Drosophila melanogaster: one gene and its partners. The protein of the gene in region 2 purifies or fractionates together with the protein of the main gene of each other region. This does not show direct contact. Each region holds a gene or a part of one and is shown on either strand. Other genes may lie near its edges. The genes, in order: Bub1, AP-1-2beta, Nak and prd1.

Region 1 (6,528 bases), on a different chromosome or scaffold from region 2:
CGCCGGCAGAGCAACTTTCCAACTGCATACTGCATACTGCATAGGCTGCAAGTTGCAGTTTCGCGCCACGACTTCTAAGTCGGTTACTAGATGCAATAATAATTGCATTTGTCCCACTTTACTTTCACTTGGCGAACGAGCAGCCAGCAACAAGCTGCAAGCTTCGAGTTTCAAGCAACTAGCAACAAAAAGCCGCAGCGCAGGCGTCGACTTTGACTTTGTGTGCCTGTTGCAGCTTTTCCAACCGTCGATGTGTGTGTGTGTTGCATGAAAAGTTGCAACTTTTTCCAGTCGCTTGGTGGAAATTGTGCGCCGTTTGGTTGACTGGCAAAAAGGAAAAGTGGGTCAAGCGCAGCATTGTTGTTGATGCTGGCGCTGCTGTTGCTGCTATTACTTGTTGCATGCCCCCACTAAATTGACAATTGCCTGCAACACACACATTATGGGTTCGCCACTTTGGCATTTGATTTATGAAACTGGGTTACCACTGCTTTCCTTTTTCGCGCTGCAATTCATATGGTTTTTGCTTTAACATTTCGTCAATTTATTCACTATTATTTAAAGATCTTTATATATTACTCAATAGTACAGCAAGCACTAATCTTAAACATATTTATGTACGATTCTTTTTTTTTTTACATTGCCTTCAATATATTGTTTTATTGTGCTGTACATAAAAAAATTACATTTAAATCCAGGGCCTTTTTTCCACAAACTCATTTCGTAAACGTTGCTTTAGATCGAGTCTGTGCCTAATATTTACAATGTTTTTGAATTTTGTAGCGTACTTTTTGCTTTCGTTTTTTTTTTTGGCATCAAAACAATAAATAAAAGGGAGTTTGTTCGCAGAAAAATAGTTTAAAATTAGAACGCGGAGTTTTTCCCGGTTTGGTTTTATCATCTTTGAAGAGGGAAAATTGTTTTAAAATAAAAACTGAAACAATATAAATGGGTGACTTGGTCAACAGAGTTATATGCAAAACAATTTAACAGAAAGGAATAGGAATAGATTGGTTATCGTCGATGCAGGATGTTGGATAGGGTGCGTATCTGCTTCTGCAGCTCGGAGTCCATGCGGTACGCCTCCTCCTCGAAGATGAGACGCATCTCATGCAGCGCTGGCAGTTTGTCCGCCTGCATGTTGAGCAGATCCCCGAAGAACTTGGTCCACACATGCTTTTTGAGGTAACGCGGCAGCTTTTGTCGTATTTCCCAGCTGGAGCCCTTCTTTTGCGGCTGCATATAGTCACCGAAGAGCATCACATGAACGGTCGCCGCGATGCAGAAGAGATCCGTTTCGTAGGACCAGCTGCGTCCCTCCTGCATCTCGATGCAGGTGAAGCCATCCGTTTGCACCACCTTCCGGAACTTGGTCTTCTCACCGTCCGGGAACAGGGTCATATCGATAGCACAGCCGAAGTCAATCAAACGTAGCGATGGCAACGGACTGTCCACATTGGGCACACGCATTAGCAGGAAGTTGTCCGGTTTAATGTCCGCATGGATGATGTGCTGGCGATGCAGGTGGTCCACGATATTGCAGATCTGTGCGGAGAAGTGCATCACCAGCGATTCGTGCATTACTTTGGTGGTTGCCTGGCGGATCTTGTTGTTGATGTCCAGCAGCGAACCGAACGGTGAGAACTCGGTGGCTATTAGACTAGCGTTTGGGGCGATGATCGCCGTGGAAATGTCCATAACGCCAGGCAACACCTCTGGCTCCTTGATGCGTTTCAGCACCTAAAACACGCAATATGTATTAACACCCAAATCTTTTTGGCAAAAAAAAACTTTAATATAAGTGGTAAATATAATTTTTCTTACCTGATCACATATGTATATCTCCCAGGTGTTTGGGGGCTTCTGATACTTGAGCGCCACTACATTGCCGGTCCGAGAATCAGTGGCTTTATAAACCGAGCCATATGAGCCGCGACCCACCTCCTTGTCGATGCTAAAGGTAACGCCTTCCAGGACGTTCAGCGTGCGAGTGTTGGATATTTTTGGCAGTGGCGTTTGGACAATCTTGTAACTGGCATGGGCATCGTGATTACCCGGAAAATCTAGCTTGGCGAGAAAAGCGCGGCACAGTTCGCTGTTGAACGGATCGATGGCCTCCTTGTCCATGTGGCGGGCTATCGTTTCAACGGCCTTCGATAGCCGACGCTCCTGGGCCTCCGTGTCGTGCTGAGTGGCGAAGTACGAGTTCTCTTGAAATGTGGAGAAATCGGCCATGGTGCTAGTGCCATTATTGTTGTTGCTGGTGTTATTGTTGTTGTTGTGAATTTGTAAGGTCTTATTGACCGGATGGAGGATCTGCTGTTGCGATGTGTCGCGGAAGTTAAGTCTATCAACAGCCAAGGCCAGCGAGCTATTTGAGTTATCCAAAGCTGTGGCACTGGAGAACGAAAAGTTTGCATTGTCATTAAATGTGCCAGGTGCTCCGGCGAGCACACTACTCGAGGCCACATCAGCCACCGAGGATGCCGAGTTGCTGTTGCTGCAGAGATCCGGCTGGAACTTGCTGCGCTTAACTTTGGTGCGTGCCCTGCGATAGCCATTCGCCTCGCTCTTCGGCGTCGAGGTCTGGCCCAGCATGTAGGGATGGAAGTGGTGGTGGCTTCCGTTGCGTTGACGCTGGATGGGAATCGGAGAAGCAGGTGCCGGGTCCGGCGAAGGATGATGTACTGCCTGCGGAGGCTGATGGATTATTTGATGCTGCTCCTGCTGCTGCTGCTGTTGTTGCTGGTAAACATTCTCTATGGTATAGGCACTGTAGGTGCTGCTGGGCTCCTTCCTGAACTTGATCTTAATCGATCGATTTTCTTGCTCGAAAGTGGTTTGCGCACTGAACTGCACGCCATTTGTGTACGGTCCGCTATGCTCCTCTTCCTCTTCATCGTCTTCCTCCTCTTCATCAGAGTCATCTTCCTCGTTCTCTTCACCACCATCCTCCTCCTCTTCTCCCTCCTCGGCGTCATTGTCCTCATCTTCCTCACCTGTATTCTCCTGACCACTGCTGGTGTTCTGCCCGTAAAGAGCTCCATCCACAGCAGTCATATAGTAAGATTTCTCAGTTTCGTAGGAATCATAAAGAGTTTGCTGTTCTTGTTCTGGCGGCTCCGATGGCTTGGCTTTTTGATCCATTAACTGCTTAAACTTGCGGGCTAGTATCTCTTCGGGACTGTACTCGACGCCTGCTCCTGGTGGATATACCAACTGCTTGGCATAGTGGCACACGCGCGAGGGATCATCAGGCTCTTCAAGCGTTAGAGCCGGCTTCCATGTCTCATGGTTGTTGCGCCCGTAGGCGTGGAAATTGCGCGGCAAGCGTAGGCCAGCCACTTCATTTGTCACCGGAGGACTTTGTTGAGGAGGTGGATTGCCGTTGCCGTTTTGTTGCTGCTGCGGCTGCTGTGCGTGCAACTGCGGTACTGTAGTTTGTTGCGGCGGCAACTGTGACTGTTGGGCTGGTGCATAATGGGACTAAAACAAAAAAGGAGTATTTATCAAGTAGCTTTGATATTAAATTTAATGCTCACCTCTGCCACAGGAGCATAATGCGATTGTTGCTGGACTTGGGATGGTGGTATTGCTGTTGGGGACTGAGTTGCAGGATGTGGTTCATAGCGCGGCCGCTCCTGGTAGTGTGTCTGATAGGGGACCTGTTGTTCTGGCGGCAGTTGCTGTTGTGGCGCCGGCTGATGAGGCTGTGGGGCTTGATGTGCCTGCGCCTGCGGATGATATTGCTGATAGACATTCTGCTGATATGGCTGGGGACGGTGTTGATTATAGCTCTGTGGCATCTGCTGCTGTGCATAGTTCGTGAGTTGCTGCAGTGCATCCTGCGGGGGATGTTGCTGGTGCTGCTGTTGTTGCTGTTGTTGCTGCTGTTGCCGCTGGTAAAAAAGAGACCTGGCATAGGCGAACTTGGTGTGGGCGTGCTGCAGCTCGGAAGTGCTCTGCGCCTTCTCCTGGAAGGCCAAGTTAAACACCGCCTCCGCATCCTTATACTCCTCGCGAGACTCGTAATAGGCAGCCCATCCAATGTAGAAGGCGGCCACCTGGCGACCAGTTCCTCGCTGAAAAAGCACCTGGTAGAAATGGAGTGGATCCGTTTGCATGGCTATGTACTTCAGCCACAGCCGCACCAAACGGACATCCTGGCGATAGTAGTCATTGTGCTCATACACCGTCAGGCAGCGCTCCAGAGTTTCGCGGTACTTTAGCTCCGGATCGCTTTGCGCGTGATTCTCGTACCAGCAGATGTAGTTGTACCAATGATCGAGTGGATCAGGACCCTGGTACAGGGATATGGCGTGCTCCCAAGCCTGCTTGTCGTTCAGGAAGCCGTGCATCTCGTCCGGGCTGGCCAGCGGCGGTGCTCCAGCTGCGACTGCTCCTGCTCCTCCTCCGGAACCCGATCCCTGGCGCATGTACGAGTGCATGGCCATCTCGGCCGGACGCGGAATCCTCTGATCCCGCTGCGCCGTAATGCAAACAAATGAATGCGAGACTGTGGTTTCTACGGGTCACCACCAAAAAGTCTCGGATTGCGGAATGTAGTGCCCCTTGCCGATTGGACTGGTTAGGGTCCACTAACTCAGTTAATCCCTCGGCGTCTTCGGCTGTCACTGGTGGCACATACACATGATTTTCAGTTGGATTTTTCAACAGTTTGCAATGCTCAAAGATATTTTGTATTTTTTCTTGCTTTTCAGCTTGCAAATGGAATTTATTAGTGCTGCCAAACAATCGATAGAACCATTGGCTGTCACTGTTGACGATGGCTATGCACAAGGTTATCGATAGTGCGATAGAAACGTGTTGTTGGGAATTTTTAAACAAAAGCAATTTTTTGTACAACTTTACTTTTTATTTATTTATTTGTTGCCAAAGTTCAATTTTATTAATAAAACTATAGGGTTCTTTGTTTTAAATTATTGTAGTTTGAATGACGCACAATATATGTGTGTGTGCTATGAAGCACTTCCTATTTGATATACTTTTTGTATAATTATAATCTATTATTGGAAAACAACATGTTAATCGGATGATTTCAATTTATGTCAAGTTTTCTACTTTAATAAGGGGTCTGGTTGGAGCTGAAGCTTTCCAAGTAAAGTTAGCGATTTATTATATGGCATTACGTTCTCCCTTGTTATCTATTTATTTTGTAATATAAATATTCAAATCCTAAACGATAGTTGTATAACGATAGGAACAATGGTCCACGATAGTGCCACCTCCGATGCAAGTTTGCTTAATGCCCTCCAGAGCGCGCCACCGTGCTCGCTATTACTGCATTATTGTTTTTTATCAACTCGCTAGAAATTACGCTATTCCCAAAAAAACCGCAAACCCGCGAGTGTTTATGTTGCGTTCCGAAGTGCATATCATAGATTAGTAGTATTAGTAACCCCTCAAACAGCCTGCTGTCCAAAAAACACGCGTGATTCCCCCGCCACCCACGCACATAGACCCCGATATTTCACTTTTCTTGTTTTCGACCCCTGACTGCGTTTGTGGATTTTCCCCCCAAGAAAAAAAAAGCGAAGTGAAAACGCAATTGAGCAGCCGATCGATTGGAACGGCAGCAAACTGAATTCCCCGGGTTACGGATAATGGAGGTATCCGCCGATCCGTACGAGCAGAAGCTCTACCAAATGTTCCGCAGCTGCGAGACGCAGTGTGGACTTCTGGACGAGAAGTCCCTGCTGAAGCTCTGCTCACTGCTGGAGCTCCGGGATCAGGGATCCGCACTGATCGCCAGCCTGGGCGGCAGCCATCAGCTGGGCGTGTCCTTTGGCCAGTTCAAGGAGGCGCTACTCAACTTCCTGGGCTCCGAGTTCGATGGTAATACGTCATCGGGTTTCATTGGTGAGATAGCACAAAGAATCGATCACGCTATAGATTAACTTATATAGTATAAAGATAATATTTGCTATAAGCTAACGCGACAGGTTCGCATAAAACAACATACGTTTTATCTGTAATTGCGCTTTAATTACCCATCAAGCAACATCAGATAATTACGGAATGTTTGCCAGCCACTTATTAGAGATAGTAATTCAATTTTGACACGGATTTGGAACCGTGTGGGTTTCCCTATTAATAAAACACTGATCTAATGAACACATTTCTAGCAGTCTATAGATGAACAAAGCCATTACTTAATACTCAAAGAAGTGCTACCATCTACGTGCTAATTTGCAAGGATTATGCACATTTACTTCAAACCTCCGCTTATCTGATTTGGAAACTTCTGGGCAAATTTAGGACACCTTAGGGTACGAATATCATAATCAGCACGCGGATTAGCACGGCGGCAGCTGGCGATCATAAAATCATAGATGCAATTGACACTTTTTTACGACTCCCAACTGTTCTCGACTACCTGATCCTGCATGATCCTTATCAGGTAGATGGTTACAATGTCCTGTATAAATACGCGACACATTCACCTGGGCAGTTTAGTCTAAATCAAAATGGGAACACGATTGTATTACCGCCGATCCGGCGGTCAGT
Region 2 (5,954 bases):
CTACAGAATGCTCCACTTACATACGTGGGCCAATGTGGGCGTGGCCATAGTTTGACGCAAAGTTGATCTGCGCGGGAAAAGCGCTTTGCAACTCCTATCTGATGGATTCTATATTTGCAGCAGGAAAACCTCTTTCTCCTTAACGAATTTTCAAGTAAATATGATATTTCAAATCTAACTTTTGAGTTTCAAGCCTAGTTTTGGATTTTAATGATCCTAAATATTGATCAATATATTGACTTTTAACCTAACTGATGCAATTATTTTCTCAGATCTTCGACTTAGAAAACTTACTTTGATGCACTTTGACTTTGAGCTGAAAGTATAAAAATCTTTCAGGCTTACGAACGGACAAATATTATAATACACAGTTTTAATTATAATACTAAAATCATAAATCATAATCATGCGTATTTGGAACCTTGTAGAAATGACCATTGAAAGCGAATAGAAACTGTGCTTAGTGCAACTGCCGTCGAGGAAAACAATGTCACAATTATTTAGTGTTTCGCATTTTACTAGGACACAAACATATACATAGATGCCGACCATAGGACATATGGGGTTACAGAGTTTTGGAATGCGGTTATGCAACGTTGCTATTACACGTTAGTACACTGAGTGACAAGCAGCTCCGATTAACAATTAACAGATCTCTCGACGAACCCGATTGGATTTTATATGTGTGCATATGCATAAATAATATATGTAGGTGGCGATTCGGCCAATACACAATATAATAATAATACGTAAATTTACAACTTATTGTTGAGCTAATCTTCAACACACGCAAATCGATAGCTCCAATTGCTTTGTGCTTATCCTATGCCATCGGATGTGCGCCATGGAACGCTTATGGAGAACGGATGATGGCCTCGTAGGCGGCGAAGATTATGTTGGCCACCTCCACGGAGCGCGATTTGAGGCTGAGAGTGGCTTCCGGATTGCCCGGCTGCAGCTTTAGCTCCAGCAGCACCCAAATGTTGTTGGTCAGCTTGAGTGACTGGTAGAGCATGTCCTGGCCCTCGACGTTACGCTTGGCGATGGTGAAGATGTTGTTGGTGGTCATCTTGGAGGCGATGCCGTCGGTAGTGCCAATTACACCGCTCAGGGTGTACTGCAGTTCGTTGGCGGCGGGGATCTCCTTCCAGGTGTTGAGGAACACGCGCTTGTCCAACTGCCCATCCTCGGCGAACAGCACGTTGCCGTGCACCAGGCACGCGAAGTAGAAGATGTCGATGTTGTTCTTCACGGCCACCTGCAAGTTGTTGAGCGGCTCCATGCGCTGAATGGGTCCGTTGGTGCCCAAGGCCATGCTGACCTCGATCGATTGGTTGGGTGGAAGGGGAGCAGCCTGCATGGGCGACGCGGGCACCAGGCCGAAGCTGTTCTTGTTCAGTTGGATGGCGAAGTTAGTCATCGGCTGCATGGCTTTGTTGGTCAGAGTCATGTCCATGAACACCTCGCCGTTGCGGCGTGAGAACGTTCCTTGTATTTCGAGTCCCTTGCCCTTCTCCGCTGGCAGCCATGTGACCTTGGGAATCTGAACACCCACCGATAGCGTTGCTCCGCCCAGTCCAAAAATGTCGCCTAGCAGGCTGGTGGCACCGCCGGGAGCCGCCTCTGCTGGCGGTCCACCGAGGAGTATATCAAGACCGCCGCCCAGAAGGTCCACATTGCTGGTGGCGGCCGGAGCAGATGGCATGGCGGGTGCGTTGATATCCATGGAGAGCAGATCTCCAATGAGCGACTCCTGGTTGGGAATGACCATTGCCTCTGAGCCGGCTGCGTTTTCTGCTTGCTCTGCACCAGCTGCAGATCCAGCGGCTCGGTTGGGCAGCGACTTGCGCACACCGGCTCCGCGACCCTCCACGAACGCGGTGGGAGGCTTATGATAAACGCTGGCCAGCGAGCTAATGTGGCAGATGAGCTCGTCCAGCAATGTCGGCTCCAAAAGGTCGGTCTCCTCTGAGATGAGTGGCTTATCGGCCAGCACCACCTCCTTGGCGGCGGCCGGGTCCGTGGACAGGAGACGCCAGTAGATGAAGCCACGGTCACGCAGATCGGGGTTGTCCGAATCCTGGGTAGCCAATGATAGTACGTGCTGCACCAGCTCCTGGGTGTCCGACGGGCGCTTGAGGAACAACTTAACCACGGCCGTCAGCAGCTGCAACTGCACCTGTGCATTTTCATCCTGGCGAAAGAGAAAATAGCAATTCAAAGTCCTGATAATGTTGGCAAATCCAGAGAAAAACTTACCTGGAATCCTTCAAGGAAGCTGTCAAGCAGCTCGTCCGCGTTGTCAATGCGCTCTGCGTACTCGCCAATGATCCAAACCATTGATGCGCGTGCCTCCGGCTCGTCCAGAGTGTCCAGATTCTCGCACAGCGTGCTGATAATGCTCTCGTACTTGTTGGGGTACTTGCGGAAGATGTCCTTGATGACCACAATGGCCTCCTGCACCACGTAGTTGACCTTGGTCTGGATAAGATCAAGCAGCGTGGACACGCAGCGTTCGGCTGAGGGCTCCACCTTAATGGCGCATCGCCCGATGGCGCGGACTGCCTTGCGCACAAAATCCACGTCCACCTCGGTGGCGTACTCCTTCAGCTCGCTAAGCACCTGGGCGATGTTGCTCTGGTTGGCCAGGCGGATCATAATGTCTAGCTTCTCCAGTTTCACGTAAATGGGATCGTTGTATTTCACGAAGAACACCTTCATTTCGTGCTTGAGAATGTCTGGCCGCTTCTGGACAATCAGATTGATGTTGCGCAGGGCCACATACTGCACCTCCGGCTCTGAGGAGAGCAACGTAACCAATGGCGGAGCCAGCTTCTTGGTGAGCGTGGCGCAAAAGTCGCTGTCGCTGGACAGCATCTCGAGCAACTTCATCAGCACCTTGACGGCGCTCAAAACGACGGCGGCGTTGGCGTGAGCCAGACGCGGAGTGATTCGCTCGCAGATGGACTGCGCCTCGCGCTCATCCTTCGGGCTGTAGTTGGCCAGCGAGTCCAGGATAAAGACCTGGCCCCACTCGGTGCACTCGTTGAGCGCCGTCAGCAGCTTGTTAATGGTGACCGAGTTCATCTCCACGAGGGGCTGGCCGGACTGACTTGCCTCGTTAATCTCGCTAAGAGCGGCCACCGCATTGGCCACCACCATGGGATTCGAGTCAGATAGCAGATCCTTCAGTTGGTCCAGAAAGCCTTGGTCCTCCACCATTGTGGCTGAAATGTCGTACAGCTTGGCCACGCACACTGCGGCCGTCTTGCGCACATACGGATCCTCGTCCTTCAGGCACTTGCGCAGCGGCTCGCACAGGTACTCGGTGATCTTGTCCACCCGAATGCAGCCCATGGTGCGCACGGCCAGCGCCCGGATAAGCGGATTGGAGTCCTCGCAGTCCTTCACGAACGTATTAACCGCCATGATGGCCATGTCCGGCTGCGATTTGGCGTAGTTCATCAGATAAAGGTAGACCAGCTTCTTCAGCTCCAGGTTGTCCGTCTGCATGCAGTTGACCACGTCCGGGAAGAGGGCGGACACGTCTTTGCCCACGGTCATGCTGGCGATCACCTTCTTCACCGCCTCCTTCTTCTTCTCCTTCTTGTCGTTATTCAGCTCCGACTTGAGCTCGAAGATCTCGCCCTTCTTGGTGGTGGTGAAGTACTTGGAATCAGTCATCGTGGCTGCTGCTCCTAGCTGCGTACTGAAATTGGAATCGAGATTGAGTTTAGAGAGGGGAACGTGGAGTTTCCGGCACAAGAAGTGCGATTATTGATTGCAATCCCCCCTCACAACACCACACCACATCTTGGGGGCGGAATCATCCGAATACCAACACATTCGCCCCTATCGCAGCTTGAACACGTCTCAAAAGGGGCCCGATTTTCGGGATGACTCAGAACTGGCCAGGGGAAAAAGAAGCCCTCAGTTGGACTGCGCCTATGCCCACTTGGGGAGACTTCTGCCAACGCAGCTTGCTTTTAATTACCTTTCAAATAGTTGATTTTCGGGCACAAAGATTTGTTAGCTTTTCTCTTCTATCTGCAATTAGTGCGACCGTTTACAGGGGAGTGACTTGTCGAAGCGCTGGTATTTTTTCTGTTTAGTATTTTGATAAATCGATTAGTTTTTGCGATTTTATCGCAAACTGATGTTTTGTGTTATTATCGAAACATTTTTAAATAAGTGGGTGCATTAAATTCCTTTTTTTTGGAAATTGGTGTTGATCAAGGTCAACATATCCTACTCGTAAAAGAGCTCAGATTAGGAAAATCATGCAGAAGATTTTTCCAGATATAAAATAAAGGACAGCCAATGAAGTAAACTGAAATCTCAATGAAAAACGAAGTCGACGCTCTCACCAGAGAGCAATATAGCGAATTAGAGTGAGATGGCTATATTACATCTGAAAAGTAACGGATCGTAAAAGCAACAGGCTAACTTTGTTATTTATAATAATGTTATACAAAATTTAATTTTCAATTGTATTTACAAATTATTTATGTTAAAAAGTTCAATATCTTCACCTAAAATTGATGTCAATATCCTTTTTCAATATTAAATTAGAATGAAAGACGGCAGTAACATGAAATAGAATATTTATTTCAATAAAATGCGCTCCTTTAAGTCTGAAAGGAAAGTACATTATGTACGAATGTTTTAATAGAAATTTTTAATTGTTCGATGCCTTATCAAAAACCGAGACTTCCGTGATCCCCCATTGAAATAAACATAATTGAATATCCTAACAATTTTATTTTTTAATATTCTCAAGAAATATCATTTAATAAGTTATTAACACATAAAACAAATCAAGAGTAGTATTGAATTAAAAAATGTTTTGTTTTCTTATATTTTAACATCATTTTCATTTCATTTGCTTTTTATCGATCCATTGAAATATATATATACATATATATATATATATATATATATCATCATTTTCACATGGGGATTTTCCCATATAAATTGTATATTAATAGTTGCATATTAACTTCATTCGCTCACGACTTTCTCATCACTTGTATCCTCTTTTCTTCTCCTCACTTTCATCTATTTTTTTTTTTTTTTTAATAAATAAGTTCGGAATAACTTTAAAAATTTTGATGTTTCATTAGTAAAAGTTGTAAAGTTCGCTATTACACCTTAATTATATACACGTTTAAATAAATCATATTCCAGTAATTCAGTCTTATGAAATAAACAAAAACTTAGGTCCGGTATATTCAGCTGGAAAATCAATCAATAAGAAAACAATCGTCCAAAGCCATTTCGAATCAATAAAACAATGAAATGCGGATTATTCCGATTTCGTTTTTTTTTTTTTCATAATCAGGCTTGGCTCCTAAGTGAACGGTCTTCTTCGTCCTTATCTTCGTTTTTATTGCTGCTCTTATTGTTGTCCGGTTCTTTTTGTTGTGTGCGTGTCTATGCGTGTTTGTGGATGCGATTAGGTTTGTTCGTCCTCTGCCTATCCAGTTTTTCTGATTCTGAGTGAGCATAGACCTTGGAGTGGATTTTATCCTCCGTTCGAGGGATTAAAAAAGTACGGAAACAATATGTGGTAGTGAAATGCATACTTTTGTTAACGGAAGCTTCTGGTTTTCCCTTTACACTTATCAATATATATATTGCACGTTATGTTGACTTGGTTGTTATTCGCTTTAAATTGGAACTGTAGAAAATCTATTAAAACTATCATATTCCCATAACATTTATCTTAATTTGGTGGTATCGAAAGAAACGAAAGGTGGAAGAGCGAGCAGCTTCAGCCCGCAGTTACTGGATTGCCTGTACTGTAACATTTGTCATTTGTTATTGGTATTGCCTATTTATGTGGGTGACCGTACATATAGTACGGATAGTACGGATTGTAACTCTTCGGAGCGCACACTCAGCGGATAATTGAGAGCCCTTTTCGCCGATGAGCACTGTAGTCCGCATAAGGA
Region 3 (4,883 bases), on a different chromosome or scaffold from region 2:
AACCCGATGAATACCCTGTTATTGTATATTCATAATACATATATACGAATATTTTATTTTATATGGCAGGAAGTAGCTAATTAATAAACTAATTTGTTTATTAAAAGGAAATATGTGTCACATTTTTATAGCACACGTATCTTTGGCCATTCCTTCCCACATAATTTATGCCATATATCTACGTGATAATAATGGAATTTCTTTACTATAAACATTTCACGTTCACAAATATCCCCCCGTGGTGTTAAAATAGTAGAGGGTACCCGAATTCGAGTGATAGCAGTTACTGTCTGGCCATGGAACGATTTACACATGTTTTGCCTAACAGGCCATTTGCATGAGGTTTATTTCAGTTTATTGCAAATAGAATTTCAAGTAGAATGCCCCCACATTTCAGCCCTCTCCACCTGTCGCTTTACGCCACTTCAAAATGTACGATAAAAAGGCAACGCAATATAAACTAAACTATTGAAGGTCACGTACAGAAATAACAACAATAACATGCGACAATAACAATACTCAGCGGGGGAAGGCGGTGGGGCGGCAAAATAAAAAGATAGGAACAGTGGTCACTAAGAAAAAAACATAAAAATATATATTAGATATAAAATGAAATGATATTAGAAAAAAAAATGATCTCAATACATTAGATGCATAGACGATGCAACGATTAGGAGAATGTTTTAATATTGAAAATATTTATGGAACATTTGCTGTAAATGCACACACCATTTCTCCCTGTGTAGGCGATAGAGAGAAGTGAATAGCGGACCAGCAAATGTAACCATTTTTGCTCGACTTTGTGAAATTATGGCGTCAAATGTTAATCAATGCTGAAGGTTGCAACAGCAACAAATCAACATTGGCAAAAAGTACAGCAACAACATCCAGTAATAATAGTATGAAAAGCAACAATAACAATGCACAATTGTAGCGATGCGAGAAAACGCGAGAAGGCAATTCGAAACGCAAACGAGGGTAGAAAATACGTCTGAAGGGGCGTCAACTGCAAGGTGGGCAGTAAGCGGTTAAGGGTGGGGGCTGAGGGGTTAAGGCGGGAAAGCTTCATTCGTTAACCGTTTGTCGCTTAGTCATTTGTAATTGTTGTTGGCTGCTCAAAAATCGAATCAAAGAAAGCAGGTAAATATTGAAGGTGATTAAGCACAGTGTTACTTTGGAAGTATCCAGCATATCGAGCAGTTTAAACTTGGCTATACGCGCATTTTATTCATTGAGCATCTGCAAAAGACTCTATTTATTTTTTCTCTTTCTTAAATGAAATACCAATAGTTACGTTACTGGATTAAATGAATTAATAAATAATATATAATTTAGTTTATAATTTGTTATACTAATTCAATAACTTTAACCAAATAACCGTGTTCGTCAAACGCTCCGCCTTTTTAATTACAGGGTATGCCCGACAACAGCTGACTAATTGCCAGCGGCGCCAGCGCAGCGCAAAACAAAATTACGAATCGAGTCCGCTTGCCAAAAGTATAAAAAGTAAAAAACACTACGTAATGGCTAAAGGAAAGGTGGCGAATGGCTGGCCAGGCGGTGGGTGAGCAATCGTTAGATGATCAAATGTTGGGCGGAGGGTACTGGTGCCAGGCCAACAAGGAGGCACTTGCACTGCAGGATGATGTGGAGTGGAGCACTCCGCATTTCAAGGACAAGGACACAGCACAGGCGATTTCCTTAGGGGCGAACTTTGCCATTTAGCTCGGCGAAAGGTGAAAAACGGAAGACTGTCGGAGACAGTCGGCTGATGAGTGTTGGTCTTGCCGCTTCATTGGCTAAATTAACATAATTGATTCAATTGATTTGTGGCCATGTGTAGTGGCTACGGGAATTCAATGGGTATTCCATGGAAAAACCAACCAGAACCGTAACTGTGTTTGTACAGTCGGGTTTCTCTAACGCGGACACCCATTTGTCACAATAGAAATGCTGGCATTTCTGGTTTTGGCAAAAATAAACTCTTTAAAGACTGACATAAATTTGGACGAAATATCTGCACGCCATTAGAGAGCCGAGTTATGGACATAAATATGTAGTTCTATGCCAAGGGCAAAATTGCAGTTCAATTAGTTGGAATTTAGGTTACAAACCAGTATTTAGTATTCATAATTAATGAAATAATTTAAAATGTTTTACAGTTTTATTAAAAGATAATATATCAAAGTCAGATTTTAGCTGTTTTGAGTTTAACATCTTATACAGAAATTATTGGGAGTAATTTATTTGGATTTAATCGGAAATGCGACAAGTGGTGTCCCCAATTATGGAGGATACGCAGCTGATTTTTATGCTCTCTAGCGCTTTGAGTACGCCCCACATTTGGGAGTTCTCGCGCTGAAGGGGTTTATCTAATCTGTGACGAGGGGCGAGACCGAAAAGCGGACGGCAGGCTACTGCCCACCTGTAAATCAGGCAGGTGATAAGCATAATCGCGGGCGACGTGTTGTAGGTAGGGGAATGGGAGCACATATATAAGAGTGTATATATAGTCGTCTACCTTCTGCCAGGACATCCTCCACGGTGACCGTGACGCGTCCCACTGTGAAGACCTTGCCCACGAAGCTGTTCTTCTCGTTCGAGGACGACGAGCTGCTGCTGTTGGGCGGATTCTCCAGTCGAGAGTTCTCATTGCGCTCGAACTTAGACAGGATTTTCTTCATTTTCCCCCGATTTTCACTAGAAAATGTTTACTGCCCCAGCAGCACAACACACACACACACACTCGCGAGCACACACGCACACTAGCTAACACGGTCTTAATTGCCTGCGCGTAGGTGTTTTTGGCAATTTTTAATTTTGCGAGGGCGGCTGACGGTGGGCGGGGCGTCGGTGCCGCTGGCCAATTAATCCACTTTCGAGTCGTATCGGCTAGCTGAATAAAGCTATTCTGCGCACTTTGTGTTTTTGCATGCACACACACAATGCAGTGGAAAAAGAAAGTTGTTCGATTTTCCTGCTGCTCTCGAGTTGTTGGGCCAGTGTGACCAGGGCGCTTTGCTGCAGTCAGATGCGCAACCCGCGGCTGGTGCAGCCGCCTATCGATATATAGATAAGTTGGTTGCAATCTCGAAATTCTGAAAACAAGGAAATCCCCGTTTACAAAATAGGTTTTATGATAACAATTTTTTGTAATTTGATCCAATTTAAAAAGATAATATGGTTCTACTTTCAATAAAACATATAGCTACAGTTGCATTAAACTATCGCGCAGTTTTAATTAGCTATGCTGCCAACATCGTGTTTCCCTTATCAATATGTTATCGATTGTGCTGGTGCAATTGTAAACAAGCATCTCTAGCAAATGGTCGCTAAATTCGCAAAATTGTAGTTTGCTGGGATAACAATGATAAATACGGCCAAGTACTTTGCTCTTCTAGAGAGTTTAAGGTTTAGTAAAGCTCTAGGTAAATTGGTTAACATCATATAATAATTGTAGTATCCCTAATACTAATATTTCGACAGCAAATACGGCGAATAACTCAGGGACTGCCGAAGCCTTGGAAATCAACCTGCGAATTTTGGAAAAATATGCTAAACTCGAGATTGGTCAGCAATTGCATGAGCTGTGCCTGGAATATCAGTTAACAGACGATCACGAATCTAGTATTGATCCCGATTCGGATCGTACTATATGCTATATAATAAGATTGCAACATGTGCTACATTCGATCATGAGGAACATTAATTTCCACAGCGACGCCAAGGAGGATCTTATTTCGGTAGCGCACCTGAAATTGTGTATCCAGGCTTCCCAAGAATTATCATATTACTCGCTTCGATGCCAGCTACATGAGGATTTCTACAAGTCGCCCATCTTTTGTGAGGCTCAGGGGAAAATCAAAGCTAACTTTTCATTGATGCTTCTAAGCATTCAGTTCTTTATTAATCTACTGCATATTCGACAATACCACATAGCCAACTCGATGGAGCTGGTGCAAAGGGATCTACTGGCGGCCATTGTGAGTCTACGTGTGCAGCAAGACTCTCCACTGCTGGATAAGGCTATAGCCTACCTCTGGCAATATGAATCCAAAGCAGATTTCTTTCGCAACATCTTGCTTTTTAAAGCTACGACTCTCTGCCCAACTCTGGCCCAATTATTGCACCGTCAACTCTTAGGAAAGCTTCACTTACCCCAAGGATTTGCTAGTCTTGTTGAGGCCCTGCATCAAAATCCCAATGTGAATTCTTCCAGAAATGCGGAAATTGTGGCTAGTATTGTGGCCAGAAAAGGATTTTCTCAGTTAGCGCAAGAGAAGATGGTTCTCCAGGTGCTAGAATATTGTAAGTTCTATCTGCAGAATGCGGACAAAATGTGCGCCGGTGTCCTATCGCTCAGAAGACTTTACGATTTAAGTGATACAAATCAAAAGCTGATAAAAGAAATATTATTCAAACACTGGGAAACGCTTTGTAACCCAGAAGACATTATTAATGGCCTTATCTTAATGGATCACCAGGAACTGTGCAATCGCATTCTCTTATGGCAGCATCTCTTTTGTTCTTCAACCGTAGCTTGCTTACCCAGTAATCTACTCGTTCCCTACCTTCCTTTGCTGCTCCAACTCTACGATGGCCTTCCAATGGAATTACCGGCGTCATCGCAGATTTCTGCCATTATTTTGCGTTGTCTGGACAACAGAGAAATGAAAAACGAATTACCTGCGATACTCCAGAAGCTGTTTAAATGGGAAATTGAGAAGGAACCTCCTTGGAAGTGTTTAAACCCACGCATTATAATCCTGCCTTCCATGAACACAACTCAAATTCAGGTTAAAGTAGCTCACAAAGATCATCTAGCAGATCACGATATGGGCAGAATATTGCCCGGTCTACTCACATCAAGCTCTCATCATTCC
Region 4 (7,997 bases), on a different chromosome or scaffold from region 2:
CACACTCATTCGGAATATAGGGTCCCACACAGCATAAACCCGACTTAGAGCCCAGAAAACCCTTTCCTCTGTAAACCCTTTCACCACTTGCAATTATTGAAAATGTCAAGGACCATCAGCGAGCTCAGAATAAATAAAAATTCGTTTTGTAATGGCGTTTATTGGTTTTATTAATTATCATGAGCTTTTAGTGGGCTGAAAGGCTTACAGCGAAATGTCGGGCGTTGGGAGGGGAATTTAATCTATGCTAATTGAAAAGGAGAGGCACAGCATTGCAAAATAAGATTAAGTCCACCATGCACACTTTTCCTAATACACATTTATAAATGTTTGTTTTGTTTATTTTATAAATAGCCACATATTGTTTGTCGTATATCATATGGATATGATCCTTGGACCAAAAGAGCACCCCCAAAACATAACATTACCGATTGATTACATGTCCAATATTCGTATAAGTTAGATTATGTATAATATTTTGTTTCTTATTATCTGTGCAATATTTGTACACAATGTATTTATAAAAGGTAAGAAATAACGAATGTAGAAAATCAATAGAAACTAAATATCCTACAAAAGAGCATACCAAAGATCAGCGACTTTAAGTTTAATATCACAAAAATTATTCAAATGAGATGTTACTAAGCGCAAACGAATGAATGAGTCAAGCGGAGGCACGCATTACAAAATCATAATACATAATACATACAGACTATATAAATATCAATACTTTTTGTTCTTTAGCTATTTGAGTATTCAGGATAGAATATTTAACGCTTGAGTAATGTATATGGAAATATAATTTTCTATTTGTAAATGGAGTATATATGGCCAGAGCCACGTTAACCCAGCGCAGCTGATAGCAAAGGCTCCCAGGCCCTATTTGTGTCCATATAAAGTTTATTATATTGCTCGGCCAGAGAGTCACCGTCGTCTAGTATGGTTATTGGAAATAGATCGTTCTGTAAAATTAGAATATTTCGTTATTGCTAAGGAAAGGTTTAGTAGTCAACGAGAAACATACATTCTTAGACTGCCAAAGCTGCTCTAGCAACCGCAGGAAACGTTGCATTTCCATGCTGCTGGCAAAGAATATAACCAAATCGTCCTGGTTTTCCAATGGTGCCTCCTGGCAGGAGAACTCCAGAATGCACCACCAAGTCTCGCTCCGCGAGGTTATCTTAATGCCAGTCATCTCTTTGATGTCCGCACAAGTTAGTATGGCTAAACCGGAGTTCTTTCCGTAAACACTGGTCATTCTTTGTGATTTTTCCGGCGAAGCTACAGTTTCTTTCGGAGCTGCATCTTCGTTTGTTTGCTTAGTAGGCGTAGAGCTTAACGAGGAATATGAATGTTGAGTGCCACGGGTAGGAGTACTAATGGTGGAACCCATCTAAAATTTTAAGTCCAAATGATTACGAAGTTTGATTTGCTAATACAATAAGCGCACTTACTAAGCTACTGGTTTCAAAAACACTGAGCATATCCTCCTCAAGCATGGTTTCTTTATTTCCCTGAACGGCTGCATTGTTATCCGCCTGCTGGCTTATTTTTCGTAGAGGAGCCGAAAAGTCTTCACGCAGGGTTATTAAATGGTTATCCGTGACGATCAACGTGCATCCAAGGGTTTTGTGCTTCTCCTCTTGAACCACAAGCTAAACACAACAAAAAGTTAAAACAAATCTTCTAATATTAATTGTCTACTTACGCCACTGGCTGATTGCAAAAGAGCCTGGAGCCACTCGGAGGCTACATACTCGTCGGGCGCAGCCATTTGCAGGACTTCGCCCTTTAGCGTAATCTCGAAGCAGTGGGGGCGCTCTGATTTCACAGTTCGCCGGGCGCCCTGACACTCGGCGAGGGCCATGGCCCAGCTGGGAAGCCTTTGGGTGGAATCGTTGAACATATACAATACGCCAGCTCTAAGAAATGAACACATATTAAATTGAATTCCTTCAAATATCGAGAGTTACGAACTTCAGTAAAAAGTATCCTGGTTGCCAAAATATTCTGTTCGCTGCTGAAGTGCTGATCGTCTGCCTAAGTCTTCGATGCATGAGGAATCCCTTCATTGAAGGTCCCAGCAGTTCGCTTGGCGATTCGACTCTCATTGACCCTCCAGCTGGCACATTAACCACTGCATAGAGCATCCAATGTTCTGCTACGCCAACACAGCTGTTGGCACGCACAAAAGCCTGCAGTGGAGCCAAATGTTCTAGAGTCAGCTGACCAACTGCAGGCAGAGTGGATCCACTGCGTCGGGCACACAACTCCAGGTTGGCTACCAGGGATCCGGCTGGATACGGACCACCCGCGAGCAGGACCTGCTGCATGTCTCGATTACTGTTGCTGAGCAAAACTGTGTTGCCAAAAGGTCCCATCTAAAAAATGATGTTGCATTAACTAATATATCACAGCAATGTCATCCGTTAACATTTACCAGTATGACATCCAAGTCCTTGTAGGCCAAAACAAACTTGACACACAGACTATTTCCTTCCATATTCACCACATACAGAGTTTTATCAGTGAGTAGGACAAGTACAGGTGTCATGATGCCATCTACATTGTAGCCTGTATACAGTTTGAAAGCCTGAAATGATAAGTTTTTATAATTGATTGCTATTTGCTACACAATTACAATCTACCTTCATTAGCTGCTCATTTGATTGTTTCAGATTGAACAAGGACTTTCCTTTGAATACATCAATTGAGATCTCCCCAATGCCAAGTTCGAAATTGGACAAGTTGCCTTGGAAATCGTTATCCAAACTAATGGCAAGTTCCCGTCGCGGCGAATTCGTGCCACACATCTCAATCTCCATGGCAATCTCTGCATTTAAGTCATCTATAAGCTCGTAGTTCTTTGGCCGAGCACCCTTCACATACAGATCGGATCCGGCATGCCTCTGTTCGGTTCTCAATTTATCGGCAAAGAAATTGTTCTTGCGTATGGAGGTTTCCATTATTTTCTTCTGTGTGACATTACGAAGGAACCTATTTATAAGTGAAGTTTTGGCCGCCGGAGCTGGCGGCTTCAGTAAGTGAGCATAGTCCACATCTGTGTAGTCTACGATGACCAAATCGCTGTCCATTGAGCGCGCATTAGTTGTATCTGTAGTGGTTATAGTTAGTATGTCGTCAAACTCTTCGCTGAGAATAGTGCTCTTTGAGTCGCGACCACTACCTCCTGGTCCTCCGCGTCCAGCGGCTAGGTAGGCACTGGGGCTGTGGAGGCTCCGACTTTGGTGAGGATGCTGTTGGTCGTAGTAACGGGGCGGCTGTAAGGGTTGTCCACGCTTCTTGAGCGGTGAAGGAAGGTGTCGAGACTGACGCTCCGCGTTGCCCAGCTGCGGATTCATTGCGATTTGATGGTTGCTGCTGGTGTTGGTGTTCGAACTAGGTTCGGATATGGTTGATGAGGAAAAGTTGCGCTGAAGTTTGCCCGCGGCTGGTGCTTGTTGCTGCGGCTTAGCGATTTTTGAAGCTATATAAGCATAATGAACAGTGTTAGTCATCGGGGAAAATATTAATTCAAATGAATATTATTTGCTCACCAAAATAGTTATCTGTGACTGCTTGCTCGTCCTTTGCAACTGGTGTGCTGTCTTTGAAGCTTCGAAAGAAATTACTAAACGTCTTGGCAATGGGAGCATCCAAAAATGATTTCTTAATTTGACTAGCGGCCGGCTCTGCGATGGGAGTGTTTTGCTCGAGCAGACTGGCTACACTGGTGTGCTGAATACCGGATGAGAGTTCGGATTGCAGATCCCCCGTCTCGTAGGATACTCCGGTGTGTTCGAAAACAGTGCTCTCACAATTAATTATAAACTTGCTGCGGAACTCGCCCTGTGCGCTGCCCATTGGCACTGTTTCCTTATCGAATTCCTCTTGGCGATGCAACATCAGTGACTGTTTTGACTCCATCGGCGAGGCTTCCGTGGAGCTGGCACCATCGTCTTCGTTCTTATGCCGCAATTGCTCATCAACGTTGTGCACGAATTTCTTAACTGGTTGTGCCTGCTTGCTGCCGTCGAGACTCTTGCTGAGGAATGGCTTAGCTCTAAGAGGCGGTGACTCGGCCGCCGGCCGCGATTTGTGCTCTGGTGTCTGTTCCAGCTCAGGGACGCATTCCACCACCGCCTGCAGGTCTTCGGAGCCCTCGGGAACTCCGCGCTCCGGCAATGGCATGGTAAAGATGCTCTTTAGCGATCCAAATATCATCTTGCTACTGTTGTCGAGCAGTTGGTGCTTAATGTCGTGCACGTTAAACTTTTTTACCCGCCCATTGAGATCCTGCTCGAGTATGACATTTGTATGTAGCTTAGTTTTCTTTAAGCAGCTTGATTTCGGCTTCTTCTCCTTATTCCATACGGACTTGACTTTGGGACTGTCAGCATCTCCGATATTGGGCTCTGAATAGTAGCAATTGTCACCTAATTGTGGGATAAAGATTAATGTGGATATACATCACAAGGATTTAAGCAGAATGTTATATAGCTTACCGATTAGATTGTTGTTAGCATTGCTCATACCAATGCAATCACATGAGCTGCTCTTAGCCTGCTCGTACTGCTTACAATTCGCATTGGAATTTTTGTCTTGTTCGTCGGAATCCAAACTGGAGTTGGAACTGCTGCACACGCACTTGTAAAGTTGGGGTTGCTCTTCCTGTTTTTGGGTCGCAGGGCCGTACTCAAAGACACCTGAGGTGTCATAGTGCAGACCGGGCGCCTCGTCCGTGTCAAAAATGTTGTCGTAGTCCAGCACATCCGAGCAGGCATTTCGGTAGACCAGATGTCTCTTTCGCCTGGCACCTCCGCCACCGGTAGCCTCCTCGCCATCGTCTTCCCTGCCAGCGGCACTGAGTTCATTAGGTCCCTCCGGACGTTCCCGATCCGGACACCAGGAATATCGTCCTGGAGCGCCGGCCACGCCCGCTGAGTTAGCGAAGGCCAACTTGCGTCCGTTCTTGTAGGTGATAAAGCCATGCTCAATGTGAATGTTGTCGGTACGAGTGTTCTTCAGTATGTCCTCGTGGAAGGACACTCGCTTTTTGGGAGTTTTGGAGGCGGACGAAGCTTTGTGCACTTTGCGACGGTATACAATCTTCTCCGTGGTGTCGAACGTAGAGCACTCGCTAATGGTCATAGACTCATCCGGCGCTGCAGTCACATTGGAGTTGGGATCCACCAAAGGGAGGGGCATCGGTCTAACGTTTTCCTCGTAGGAGCAAATGGACTCCACCATCACATCGCTGTTTTCCGAGTCCAGGAGTTGTACTCCCGAATCGCTGGGCGTGGTGTCCTCCATGGTGCTGCTGTTCAAGCTGGAGCTCATCTTGTCCATGCCCAAATTGTTGTTGGCCTTGGGCAACAGAGGTGATTCCATGGTCGTTTCGATTTTCGCACTTGTCAAGAGTTATCTACGCAGTGATTTTCGTCTATTAACCTACGGAAAATTGTAAAAGTCGGTAAACCATTATTTGTGTATCTCGGCGTTCTTGCTATTAATCAATATCCACAAGTTGCACAATGCGCCGCAGCAAATCGCGCCAGTGCACAAAGGAAAATGACCCCTGACCCAGCACCCCCTTGAAAATCGCACCGGGATTAAATTCACACACCGCTGCTTCTGTCACTCACCTGCGATTGTATCGCAGGATTCCATGTTACTGTCGATCTGGGTGGTTTACGTTTCCTTTTACGCTTGCTTTAAGAGTTTTATGTGCAGATTTATCGCCACTTGTACATTTTAGAATTGCCAAAAAAAAACGTCTTGGCAAGTGAAACAATCAATATTTTGACCTCATAGAGTTGCCAGTTCCGCGAACAGCTGATTGCGCGCCAGAGCTGCCAGATAAGAGAAGAGGTTGGCAACGCGGCCTGTTACAGCAACGGGAAGTTCCGGTTTTCAAATAATATTTTTGTAAATTTTAAAATTCAACAATTATTTAACACATTATGTAAAATGTTCCTGAAGAGTTAATTCAATTTTAAGACAAGTTTGTATTCGGCTTTTATTTAAAATATTGTAGAGCACGTATTTGCATTTCAAGAAAATTGGGATTTAAAGTTAAGAGCAAACCCAGAACAGTTTGTGAAAACGTACTTCGAAAGCAAATGCCGGAACATGCCGATAAACCCATTTTTGACATCGACAGTTGGCGCCCAGTTCGCTTGTTTCGCGCAGTCAAACGGTTTTTCATATTTCACAGATATTATTCGCAAATACAGAGTGGACATTTAAATTAATGCCCTTGTCAGTGGGTGCGAACATCATTTCCTCTTTGCCATTTCGCTAACCGGGGTCAGTTGTCAATTTGAAAAGTAGTGTAGTGTGGGCGAATGCCAATGAAAGCGAATGAAACCTTAGAAATCAATTTATCACACTTTGCAGCACATCACAATCGTCGCGATAACTCTGCCGTTTCTTTATTGGTTTTTGCTGCGCGACGAGTAAAATATAATTCCTCGCTTACTAATCCTCCGAGCAAGTTCATTCTCAAGCGCACCCAGAGATGAGCTACTTTGGGAATTGACATGGACTGCGGAGCAATGAGTGCCAGAGGAACAATATCAAAGCCGAAGGTAGTGTGTTCATAATGCAAAGCCCAACTAGCAAATTGGTAGAATTCAGGTGCCTGATTGCGTTGGCAATATATTTGCACGCGCTGGAGCAATCGATCCAGCACTGCCATTGTGTTCATGGTTACAGGTGAGTCCGAGTGCGTTTGCCCAGTTTCATCAGATTTACGCCACAGGGCTGTTCTGTTCCACATATGCAGAAATAACACGGAGAGCGCCGAGCTGGTCTCCCACTACGAGTCGAGTCTTTCGCTCCCGGACATTTTGCCCATTCCCTCAAAGACGTACGACAAGAACCGGGCTCCCAAGCTCCTCGGCCAGCCCACAGTAGTCTACTTCCATGTCACGGTCCTCTCCCTGGACTCCATTAACGAGGAGTCTATGGTCAGTAGAATGTGTTCATCTTTTCAATACTCATCACTCAGCAAACACTAATTGGCTTATCATGCTCCTTTAGACCTATGTGACGGACATCTTCCTTGCACAAAGCTGGCGTGATCCTCGCCTGCGGTTGCCTGAGAACATGAGTGAGCAGTATCGCATATTGGATGTCGACTGGTTGCACAGCATTTGGCGGCCCGATTGCTTCTTTAAGAACGCCAAAAAGGTCACCTTCCATGAGATGAGCATTCCCAATCACTATCTCTGGCTGTACCACGACAAAACGCTGCTCTATATGTCCAAACTCACGTTGGTCCTGTCGTGCGCCATGAAGTTTGAGTCCTATCCGCATGACACGCAAATCTGCTCCATGATGATCGAGAGTTGTAGGTGGAAATGTAATGGTTATCTACACCCTGCAAATCCCGTATCGCTTGGAACTTTCCATTCCGCTTCTCGAATTACAAATAATCTGTGTTGAACCGAGTTTTGATTGGCAGTATCCCATACGGTGGAAGATTTGGTTTTCATTTGGAACATGACCGACCCACTTGTGGTTAACACGGAGATTGAGTTGCCGCAGCTAGACATATCAAATAACTACACAACCGACTGTACTATAGAGTACTCAACAGGTAAGACTAAACTATTAAAAGCCATTTTTTTCAATATAATTTATATTTATTTTATCTCTAGGTAACTTCACCTGCCTGGCCATTGTGTTCAACCTGCGCCGACGCCTGGGTTACCATTTGTTCCACACCTACATCCCCTCGGCTCTGATTGTGGTCATGTCTTGGATATCGTTTTGGATAAAACCAGAAGCGATACCCGCCCGTGTAACTCTGGGAGTGACCTCACTGCTAACCCTGGCCACCCAGAATACCCAGTCGCAACAATCGCTGCCGCCGGTTTCGTATGTCAAGGCTATAGACGTCTGGATGTCGTCCTGTTCGGTGTTTGTATTCCTTTCTCTGATGGAATTTGCAGTGGTCAACAATTTTATGGGACCGGTGGCCACAAAGGCAA

What was found.
Region 1: the proteins of AP-1-2beta (region 2) and Bub1 purify together in Drosophila melanogaster (affinity purification with western blotting, with the first as the bait; one study listed by BioGRID). This does not show direct contact.
Region 3: the proteins of AP-1-2beta (region 2) and Nak purify together in Drosophila melanogaster (affinity purification with mass spectrometry; 2 studies listed by BioGRID, with this or other methods). This does not show direct contact.
Region 4: the proteins of AP-1-2beta (region 2) and prd1 purify together in Drosophila melanogaster (affinity purification with western blotting; one study listed by BioGRID). This does not show direct contact.

What each region holds. Positions count from the first base shown.
Region 1 is NT_033779.5:5,277,286-5,283,813, reverse strand, and holds Bub1 (Bub1 kinase), read right to left. Parts: upstream 4,762-6,528; 5' UTR 4,455-4,761; coding exon 3,543-4,454; intron 3,487-3,542; coding exon 1,825-3,486; intron 1,741-1,824; coding exon 1,015-1,740; 3' UTR 531-1,014; downstream 1-530. Other genes in the region: Nin (ninein), read left to right, coding at 5,625-5,880.
Region 2 is NC_004354.4:19,729,130-19,735,083, reverse strand, and holds AP-1-2beta (adaptor protein complex 1/2, beta subunit), read right to left. Parts: upstream 4,081-5,954; 5' UTR 3,995-4,080; intron 3,710-3,994; 5' UTR 3,685-3,709; coding exon 2,260-3,684; intron 2,195-2,259; coding exon 854-2,194; 3' UTR 503-853; downstream 1-502.
Region 3 is NT_033779.5:18,965,732-18,970,614, forward strand, and holds the start of Nak (Numb-associated kinase), read right to left. Parts: upstream 3,014-4,883; 5' UTR 2,685-3,013; coding exon 2,522-2,684; intron 1-2,521. Other genes in the region: Tango6 (transport and golgi organization 6), read left to right, coding at 3,368-3,428, 3,487-4,883.
Region 4 is NT_033777.3:11,780,978-11,788,974, forward strand, and holds prd1 (pruning defect 1), read right to left. Parts: upstream 6,038-7,997; 5' UTR 5,646-6,037; intron 5,452-5,645; 5' UTR 5,392-5,451; coding exon 4,506-5,391; intron 4,437-4,505; coding exon 3,558-4,436; intron 3,488-3,557; coding exon 2,649-3,487; intron 2,594-2,648; coding exon 2,441-2,593; intron 2,382-2,440; coding exon 1,978-2,381; intron 1,923-1,977; coding exon 1,709-1,922; intron 1,656-1,708; coding exon 1,455-1,655; intron 1,394-1,454; coding exon 1,025-1,393; intron 963-1,024; coding exon 843-962; 3' UTR 154-842; downstream 1-153. Other genes in the region: HisCl1 (Histamine-gated chloride channel subunit 1), read left to right, coding at 6,605-6,717, 6,788-6,971, 7,045-7,354, 7,469-7,603, 7,665-7,997.